2 linked regions of the Neodiprion lecontei genome follow. The protein of the gene in region 1 binds, or shares a complex with, the protein of each later gene. Links are inferred from orthologs where the notes say so. Each region holds a gene or a part of one and is shown in the gene's direction. Other genes may lie near its edges.

What was found. Proteins that work in one complex are often made in the same cells at the same time.
Region 2: mediator of RNA polymerase II transcription subunit 12 (region 1) and cyclin-dependent kinase 8 share a complex: the UniProt entries of both Drosophila melanogaster proteins name them as parts of the cdk8 module of the Mediator complex. The link is inferred for Neodiprion lecontei from reciprocal best matches to the Drosophila melanogaster genes kto and Cdk8.

What each region holds. Positions count from the first base shown.
Region 1 is NC_060263.1:25,699,929-25,704,863, forward strand, and holds the start of mediator of RNA polymerase II transcription subunit 12, read left to right. Parts: upstream 1-1,849; 5' UTR 1,850-2,339; coding exon 2,340-2,883; intron 2,884-3,556; coding exon 3,557-4,215; intron 4,216-4,912; coding exon 4,913-4,935. Other genes in the region: presenilins-associated rhomboid-like protein, mitochondrial, read right to left, coding at 976-1,162, 1,261-1,307. UniProt on the Drosophila melanogaster protein: Component of the Mediator complex, a coactivator involved in regulated gene transcription of nearly all RNA polymerase II-dependent genes.
Region 2 is NC_060263.1:23,752,369-23,757,124, forward strand, and holds the start of cyclin-dependent kinase 8, read left to right. Parts: upstream 1-1,721; 5' UTR 1,722-1,805; coding exon 1,806-1,936; intron 1,937-2,205; coding exon 2,206-2,308; intron 2,309-4,132; coding exon 4,133-4,243; intron 4,244-4,756. UniProt on the Drosophila melanogaster protein: Component of the Mediator complex, a coactivator involved in regulated gene transcription of nearly all RNA polymerase II-dependent genes.

The sequences.
Region 1 (4,935 bases):
TTTCTAGTTTTCCCATAAAAAACATTGATTTTTTTTAAGATACATCTGAACTACTCTTATTGAACGAACTTGCTTTTCTTATTCAAATTCATTGCTTTATACCTATATTTTAATTATAAATGAAAATAGTCAATCTTTTTCATATTCAATTTAATTTGGCTCAGTTTCAATTATTTGATATTTCAATAATTGTTCAGCATTTCAACTCGAAAGAAATACGTCATGGTATATGGATGTTCATGAAAGAAAATCGTACCTAACAATTATTTGAATTCAGAAATATGCATTCAGTAATGTGAATTAATTTTAGTGTTCAATTATAATTATCAGCAAAATTTAACATTTCTCATTAAATTAACAAAAACTCAAGTTTCATTTATGTACTTTTTTGTACTACACATTTGTTTTCTACAGATGTAGTGTGCATTGACTAGAATATTCGCCTTGGAGCAGTATTAAAGGAAGAAATTAGTACAATTCTAGGAACCGTGGTCGAATTTCCTGACATTCCGCTAATAGTTTCAAACTGTGTGAAATTTCCAAATCTTCCTTGGTTTTCCAGAAATTCTTTAGTGATAGATACTCTGTATCTGTTTACACTCTGAAGTATATGCTTGCTAATAAAGAAGAACTAATAATGAAAGAGGCTCAGCCTATGGATTTACATGATATAAAAACTAACATCACTTTACTGCTAGCAGAACTTGCGTTAATGAAGATTCGATCACCATCAGCTGTACAACTGTCCAACAGTGCTCAAAATTTGTAACACTAGCGAAATTTTGCAGTTCCACTAACAAATTTGTGGCTAATATTGTTGGCACGGAACAGTTTTGCAGGGTTACTCGTGAAGATTGATCAGAGTTACGGATCATGTCATATATGTTCTTTTTATTAATCATTCTTTTCGACTTTGAGCGAGAAGTTAAACTATCCAAAAATTGCGATAATTATTGTGAATAAAGAGAGAATTACCATAATAGAAAAACCAAGTGGCTTCCATAGTCTTGTGAGGTGAATAGGACCTGGTTTGGTAAGTTCACTAGTAAACGGCGATTTGGTTTGTTTGGAAGCATCGGTTACTCTTCGAAAATACCTCACATGGTGCAGGGTGGTTTGCGACATGGCTTTTGGTTTGTGATACTGCACACCAGATAGTAGCCTGATTAAAGAGAGGAATCAAAATATTGTATCGGCTTCAGACGCATGACGTCACATAACCAAAATTTACCAACGATGCCGTTTTGTATTAGTGTTTACCATTTGCCCGACATGTTTCCAAAATTGAGCAACGCCTGCGTGGCCATAATTGTATAGGAAATAGTTATTCTTTCGTTCACTTTGTGTACTCTTATATCAATTTTTACTATCTTTAACTACATTGTCAATTTCATACGGAAGCCCGGTTATGCATACTTTAGTGTGAATTTCCACAATTCTTTGCCAATAGGAATGACGATAAAATAGAAGATTCGCACTCAGCGCACAACAGACAGTGCTTTCCTGCTTTATTGGCGGTTCTATTGGTCAAGAACTCTGCAGCAAAATGCTGTGGCAGCACTTCGCCGCCCGTGAAAATTCAGGCTTAATGCAAACTTCACCGTACCACGCGTGCTTTCCAACGTTACAACGGTTTCACCATTGCACATAACCATATATTTGACACTCTGAATTTGACAACGACTGCGTCCGTAATTCTTAGTGCATATATACACATGTTTATATGCTGTAAGGTGCTGTAAGGTTCCGTTATTAACAGTTATTTTCTGGCAGCACTGACAGAAGTTTTGCGTCACTCTTGCTCTACCAGATTATCAATGATACTCCGTCTCACACCTAGGGAATTCTTTAGTGTGTAGGCGGCTTATCTCAGGTCGTAGTCATTTAAAGCTGTGTAACCGTAGAAAATGCCAAGATGGCGTTGTGGGCAACTTGCCCCAAGGATGACAAGTTCGGTGAAATTTTAATCGCCTACAGAGTTTAAAATACGGTTTTAACCATGTATATATTAAAAAACAGTATTCTGCTACTATACACGATCTATTTTTCTGTAAGCAATGAAAATTAATTTTTTTTTTGTTTTTTCTACGTTGTCAACTTTTAAAGGTTATATATTGCATTGATCTCTCGTTCAAAATGCTGTATATATTCATTCATCCTGTGTCGTTTTATTAAAGTTTTGTGAACTTTATGTGTGTTTAACTAATTGTCTGATCGCCAGCTTCGACATAATTTTTTTTTTTATATTATTTTGAAGGTTATAGTCTCGTTTAATTCCACTTTAAATTTGTGAACTGTACATGGGTTCCTGTTGTCTTTGATCCCGGTTTTTACTTACCATGATGAGCATATTGTATGAAAAACGGCCTTTAAAAAGGCCAAGATTAGGCCCTCCCGACGTATATCCACAAGAGCCTAAGCAAAAGGAGGATGAGCTTACACTAGTGAACGTTAAACATGGTTTTGCTACAATGCCTCAATTATCCGATGAATTTGGATCAGCCAAGCAATGTAATGTCACTGCTGCAAAAGTTGGTGCATATTTCAACGGTATACTTGCTAAGAAAGAAGAATTTGCCACGATGCCTGATACGGGAAGAAAGAGACAGCAGATTAATCCTAAGGATAATTTTTGGCCTGTAACTGCCAGAACTAAAAATGGGATTGAAGCTTGGTTCAAAGATCTGTCTGGCTGTAAGCCTTTGCTGGCCTTGGCCAAGAAAGCCCCTAATTTTAACAAGAAAGAAGAAATTTTTATGATGTTATGTGAATATCAAGTACCGATGCTGAGAGCCGCTTGGTTTATTAAATTAAGTTCTGCTTATACCGTTGCTGTTTCTGAAGCAAAAATTAAGAAAAGACAATTACCTGATCCAACAACTGGTAAGGTTCAAAACAGAAAAGTACAATAAATAATAAAACGATATGTGTTGTTACAATCTATCAGATTTGTAATTTTCATTATATGAGTCAGACAGATATCTCGAACACTTGATCCAAAATTATTATACTCACAAAATGGGTACAGACTGGAAAATAGAAATCACACATTGTTTTTTAGTTTATCATTATTGATCTTCAATATTCACAGGTTGTTTTACAAATTTGACGAAATGCTATATCATACGTCATAAAAGACTGTTAGAATTCCATTTGAAATATTAAAGGGTACTAAAAAGTAATTTTAATGTAGTAATGCATTTTTAGAAAAATTCGTTTTTCCACAACTAGAGGTTTGTCTGAAATTATAATCAGTAAAGCATAATGAACCAAATTAGACTCATATTTTATTAACTCAACTCTTTCAAGGTCATTCTACAGTTGTAGAATAGTGATTTCTTATTTAATGTTTCGTTACTTTAACTTGACTGACTTCACATTCATCAGAACTTAGCTTCCTACATACATACTAATTATTTTGTTGAATTCTCATCAATGAACTTATGAATCGGGTTGGTATGAATTTTCTTATTTCAAATAATCTATAAATTTAAGTAGAGTGAAAATAAATATTTATGGGGCAATAAATACAATTGATCCTTTATTTTTCTTTTAGAATGGACTGGTACCTTAATAAAATTTCTAAAAGATCAGCTGACCAAATTACAAGAATATTATCACATGAATCACAATATCTCTAATGGCATGAGCAACAGTACCAATGGTAGTAATCTGAATAATAACAGCACCAATAATACTGTGAATAATCAACCAACTACACCAAACCCAAATCCTGGGACAACTGTGGGTCCAGCTATGAACGAAGATCATAAATTAGCACTTAAACAGTGGCATTACTGTATTCAATTAGCCAAATACATGTTTGAGGAAGGATTGCTCGATAGGCAAGAACTGTTACAATGGATCTTAGAACTTCTCGATAAAATGAGATCTGCTCCGTTGGATGATGGGATTTTGAAGCTCTTATTACCATTGGCTTTGCAATATCTAGAAGAGTTTGTTCAGTCGGAGTTGTTAGCTAGAAAATTGGCATACTTATGCTGTCGTAAAATCGCACAGATGTGCAGCAATGTAGAAAACAGCAATAATCCTCAAAGTCCTATGGTCACTGCCTCTGTAAAATCAGAAGTGAGTAATATAAAAGAGAATCCCATTGCTCCAATGCCGGTTAATCCATTTACCGTGACTTTCAACGACTATATTAACTGTCCACATCACAGAGACATAATCTTGGGATTATCGGCTATAATTCAGGTACCTTTTTAATTATGTAGGGTAAGTTTTATTTGGTTGTCACCAAATTAGACACAAGTCATTTTAATTGACGAATAATATAAACACATACAACTACTCTACACAAAGGTTTTTGAAGAACACTGTCTTTGGTGCAGAAACTAACTTGAGAACGACAAATTTATTTTAGAAACACGCATTTAAACGCATCTAACGATCGTTCTTCATAAAAGATAATCAGTCGTTCTTCCCTCATTAGAAATTAACTTTTATAAACTATGTTTATGCTTCGTTATTACTTATCACATTTGCTAAAGGTAGAACTTGCAAAATCATTATTTTAGTATTTTATTATTTTCATCAAGAACTAACCCACCTCGAAATAGGAGTGCACTTTTTCATATAAACTCTTACATGTGATTTTATAAATTGGCCAACTAGAATATTATTACAAGAGACACTTTTGAAATGCTTATCCAGAAGAAACCTTTGAACATATACCCAAGTGGTTTGTATTTAAGGAAAGTGAGTAGAATGGAAGCTTTTCCAATCTAGTTAAATTGATCTTCAACAAATTTATGACTCAATGAGGATTTTTATTTCGTATCCTGTTCAATATTGCTTGTGCCTCATCAGCTTTGACTAAGATAATCTATTCTTAGTCTGTACAATCAGTAGACCAATCTTCTAATTTCTCTAATTACCTATAAATCCTTAGGTAATTACAATCGAGTGTCCGAC
Region 2 (4,756 bases), about 1.9 Mb from region 1:
AGAAAGCGTGGCATTTGCAAGCCGACGGTCAATTCACGGGGATAAAAATTGCAGAGTGTACAGTGATAGTAGAGAATCTTGTCGTGAGTATTTATAAAACATACCTGAAGTGTACAAAAGTATTTTTTTGGTGATTTTATTTTATTTTTTTTTCAAGGTAATGAACTAATTTTTTTTACAAGCATACCGTTTTTTACAAGTCCTTACTCGAACAAAATATTTATGCTAATAATTCCAGATTTTTATTAAAAACATGTAGACTTTTTCTTGAATCATAGAAATGCTAGAGTAGAAGACTGTTTTCACAAATGTTGATATTGGGCTCGACATAGTTTTTGTCGATGCACGCACTTTTTTCATTGTGCTAATCGTAACTTCGTCTGTTTCAGCTAATAAAACTTTTTGTCTGTTTCAGCTAATCAAATCTTTTGTATTCCCGATGAAACTTTTTTCACCAACATCTGAAGCGATTTCTGCTATGATTTCCGAAATTGTCAATAAAGCCTTCGTAAATCCTGTTAAAATCGAATTGAAATGTGTAAAACGTCTGATTGGAAAAATATCTCACCCCAGGTGACTTGGTAGTGTGTCTTTTTTGAGGTGAAATGTTTCCTCGATCAGCAATATTTCATGGCACTTCCCAATCGACTTTTGCAGGACTTATCAAGGATCTGTTTAAAATTATGAGGATTCTAGCACAAATTGATTTCGATGTTGGTAGCAAAAGTTACGTCGGAATTACTTCAGTTGGTATTTCCGATGCATCCCAAGTGTTTCCGACGTAACTTCCGTTACCAACATTAGTTTAAGTGTTTTAAGTATTATTGTGTAAGAATGATGTGATTGTTTTATTTCTCGCGGTATGTATGTACAATGTTGACCAATGAAACTTTGCAGTCAATTTTCTTCCAAATCATTCCTGCTGCAATACATCTTTTGTCAATATATTTGTGATTTATTTCGTTACTTCCAATCTTGGAGGATATAGACATGGAGGGAGCCTGGTACACCCTTCTGTGTAAGTGGAAAATGGTAACGAGAAGGAAGTAGTACTACATTCTTTTTCTGTTTTGCAGGCTTAGAATGCTTTTAAGCTTGCAGGCAGCACTCACGCTCGTACCACAGAACCCCGGTGCCTGGCTCTAAGGCTTTGTTAGTTTGACGTGTCCGTAGTCACATACCGGAAGCATATAGGCATTGAAGTGTTACTATTGTTGTACAAAGATACCTATTAAGTTTCATTTATTTACTAAAATCATGTCGCTGAAACGTTGCGTTTCTATCGGACTTTTCGGGGCAAATGCCCGTTCCAGATTTATAAGTTATATTGTTTCGTTTGAAAATATGCTAAACATTGATATTATTGACTGTTTATTTCAATAACTTGACCAATAGGCACTAGTGTATAATATGTATTCATATCATTCGGATTATATCACGGCACTCAATTACGATATGTTCGCACCTACCATAGAAGAAGACCTCATGTATTATTACGACGTTCCTCTCTCTTATTGGCTCGGGGGCACTTTTTCAGCGTGTTGCTTCCTTCCTCTATGTCTATCGGCTCTAAGCTTCTAATTAACAATCTTAGAGTTTTTAATTCTTACGATAAAAACGTTTATGAAGACCGCTAACTCAACGCTGTAGTTTTGAGTTTTTGGCGCGCGGCATTCCACGAGCGTTTCCCTTGTCGTCGACGGCGTGACGCTGCAGCATCAATTTGACGCCCGTGAAAATTCAGCCCAGCCTGCAACTTGGATTGAAAGATGTCATAATTTAGTTTGTATGTACTGACATCAAATATGATGGATTATGAATTTAAAGTAAAAACCCAGAAAGATCGTACGAAAGTTGAAGATTTGTTCGAATTTGAAGGCTGCAAGGTTGGAAGGGGAACGTACGGTCATGTATATAAGGCGAGGAGAAAAGAAGGGTTAGTTTATTCTAACTTATCTAACCTTCAATACTCAAGTGATACGTTCCACGATCGAATATTTACAATACAAGTTGTATGAACCGTTGAGCAATATAAATAGACAAAGTCCGAATAGTCAAAATTAAGTTTTGTATAGTTTTTACGTTTTCTGTTACTTCATACGTCTTTAATTTTGACCAATATTATAGTATTTCTGGTTGCCAATTCAACATTCTTGTATCATTCCACATTTAAAATCTTATTAAACACAGATTTTTTTACTTCAGAGTTCCTGACAGCGAGTTAAAATCACGTCCTGATACTAAAGATTTTGGTCTCAAACAAATCGAAGGGACTGGGCTTTCTATGTCAGCATGTCGCGAGATAGCAGTGAGTAGAGCAACTGTACATAATGACATTTTGATTTAAACGTTTCTAACTTTTGCATAACACTTGGGAAATGACTGGCGATTTTAAGCTATCTACAAATTGTCATTAGCTATAAGCGAGGAAATACAGAAATAGGTCCTTCGCTGATTGATGTTGAGATCTGTCGCTAAAGAGACCAAGTGGCATCTCTTTCACTGCAGTTGCTAAAAGTGACTTGGGTCACATGTTTTTTCTTTGTGAAATGTCACTGAAAGTTGTTTCTGATACAATACCACCATGTATCAGTTTTCGATGGTTCCAAAGTCTTCAAAAGTTAAGAGTATTGAAAAACCTCAAACTTTCTGGATTGCAAAAGTCAGACAATTGTCGGAATGTATTGTGGAATATACATCAAAACTCTGTAATGATCCAGTCACTCATAACACTTGGTCTTCACTAAAGTCAGCCTTTCACTGAGGGTGAAGTTTCCTTTAATTTCTCCAAGAGGATAGGCAGTATCAGTAACCAATAATATTTGATGAAAACTAATCCCTAAAACTTGATGAAAAACTTGTTGAATAAGTTTTTTTTTAGTTTTTTTTGCTATAATTTCCACAGAGATGATAGATTCAGTGAATTGAGACATTTCAAAGTTAGGTATTTAAAATTAATTAGAGGATCCTAAGATGCGGAAATAAAATGTCAGTAGAAACTATAATATAAAATTTTTTCCTCAATTTTGATGTTCCTAATGGTAACTAAAAAATGCTAAAGTGACCAGAGAAAGTATTATTGCTTTAGAAAAAAATGATTTTTTTTTTTTGGAAATATCTGAAATCTATATTGTCCTATATTTCTTTAAAATACACATATCAGCTTTGAACCCTTTGAAGTCCTTTGATTGGGCCTTTTTAGGGGAAGTCAGAAAATTTGCAAAAATTTAGTCCAATGTACTTTATTTCCAAGCCTGTGCAAAAATTTTTGGTGAAAGATTTTCACTTGAGATTTTAAAGCATTTAGTAAATGTAAATATTGAAATTTTTCAAATCGTGGATATTCTTCATGTAGAGTGCTGAAAATTAGATCCCATTATTGTGTAAAAAAAGTGGTGCTGTTACCATTGATTAACCATTAACTTCCCTTAGAAGAAATGGTGGAATTTAGCAAATTTCCCATGAAGTATTTATCTGCACAAGATTACTGATTTAAATACATGTACTCATCTATGCCAATGCCATATGTATAAGTAATTACATATATATCACTATTACACATTATCTGCCTCTGAAAACCGTAATCATGGTTCTACGTTATAACCTGTACATTGATAGGAAGCTCTTAAAGTAAAGTAAGCGGTTTTACGCTACCGACAGCAGAACCTTTACTGTGGGCTTCATTTTTTTATGAACATGTGTCGTCTACTCCATGATTTGTCATTACAAAGAAAACTCATTGAAAATACAGAATTTTAGACCTAGAAATTTGTCAATTCTAGCGGATCTTGATTAAAATATTTGTGCGACTATGTCAGTTTCACAGATGTTTACCAAGTTTATTTGGTAACTCGTATAGTCACTATTTGAACTCAGATTAGTTTTTTTGATTGAATAGTTATTTTAAACTATAAATTAGTTGAAGGCTGGAGTTGACTCAGAAGTAGACATGATTATTACTAGAATCGTTCAATTCTGCAGAAAAAGTGAATCGTCAACCCGTCGAAAATATTGCATTTTTTGTCACTGGATACCTTGTGTAACCTATATCCAAAACACTCAGATTGAAATATAATCTGTACACAAGATTTTTGGATAATAACGACATGTTTTTTTCCCTCAAATCTTATAGCTCCTTAGAGAATTGAAACATACAAACGTCATAACATTGATACGTGTCTTTCTATCACACAATGATCGGAAGGTTTGGCTGCTTTTTGATTTTGCAGAGCATGATCTATGGGTATGTCAATATTCAATACAGTTTTATAATCTAAAATGCATTATCAGAATATTTATATTTTACAATCATAATTTAATTTTGGGTTTTTAGCCATGAAATGAATTAAGTTTCACAAATCTTCTTTTATATTACCGTTCCTTAGTACAGTCATACTTGACATGTACTAATACTTATTCGTAATATTTTAGTATTCATTTCTGATCTGGTTCTGAATGGTCACGATATTATCATGATCATTTGTTGTGTTATTTCTGTGTTCCTTTCCCAATTTATACTTATATCACGTCATCCAATATTGTAATATAAAACCAAGGATATAGAAAGAAAATTATTACTTTATAATACTAGCGGTCTTTCCTCAGAGAATTCCATGCATTCATATACTTTTTGGCACTGTATGCTGGGAGTAAGGTATTTACAGATTGGCCAGAAGTTTTATTTTTTAAATTTAAGCATACTTTTTTGTCTGAGACGTAACATAGAATATTAAGAAAAAGACTCCCAGTTACAGCC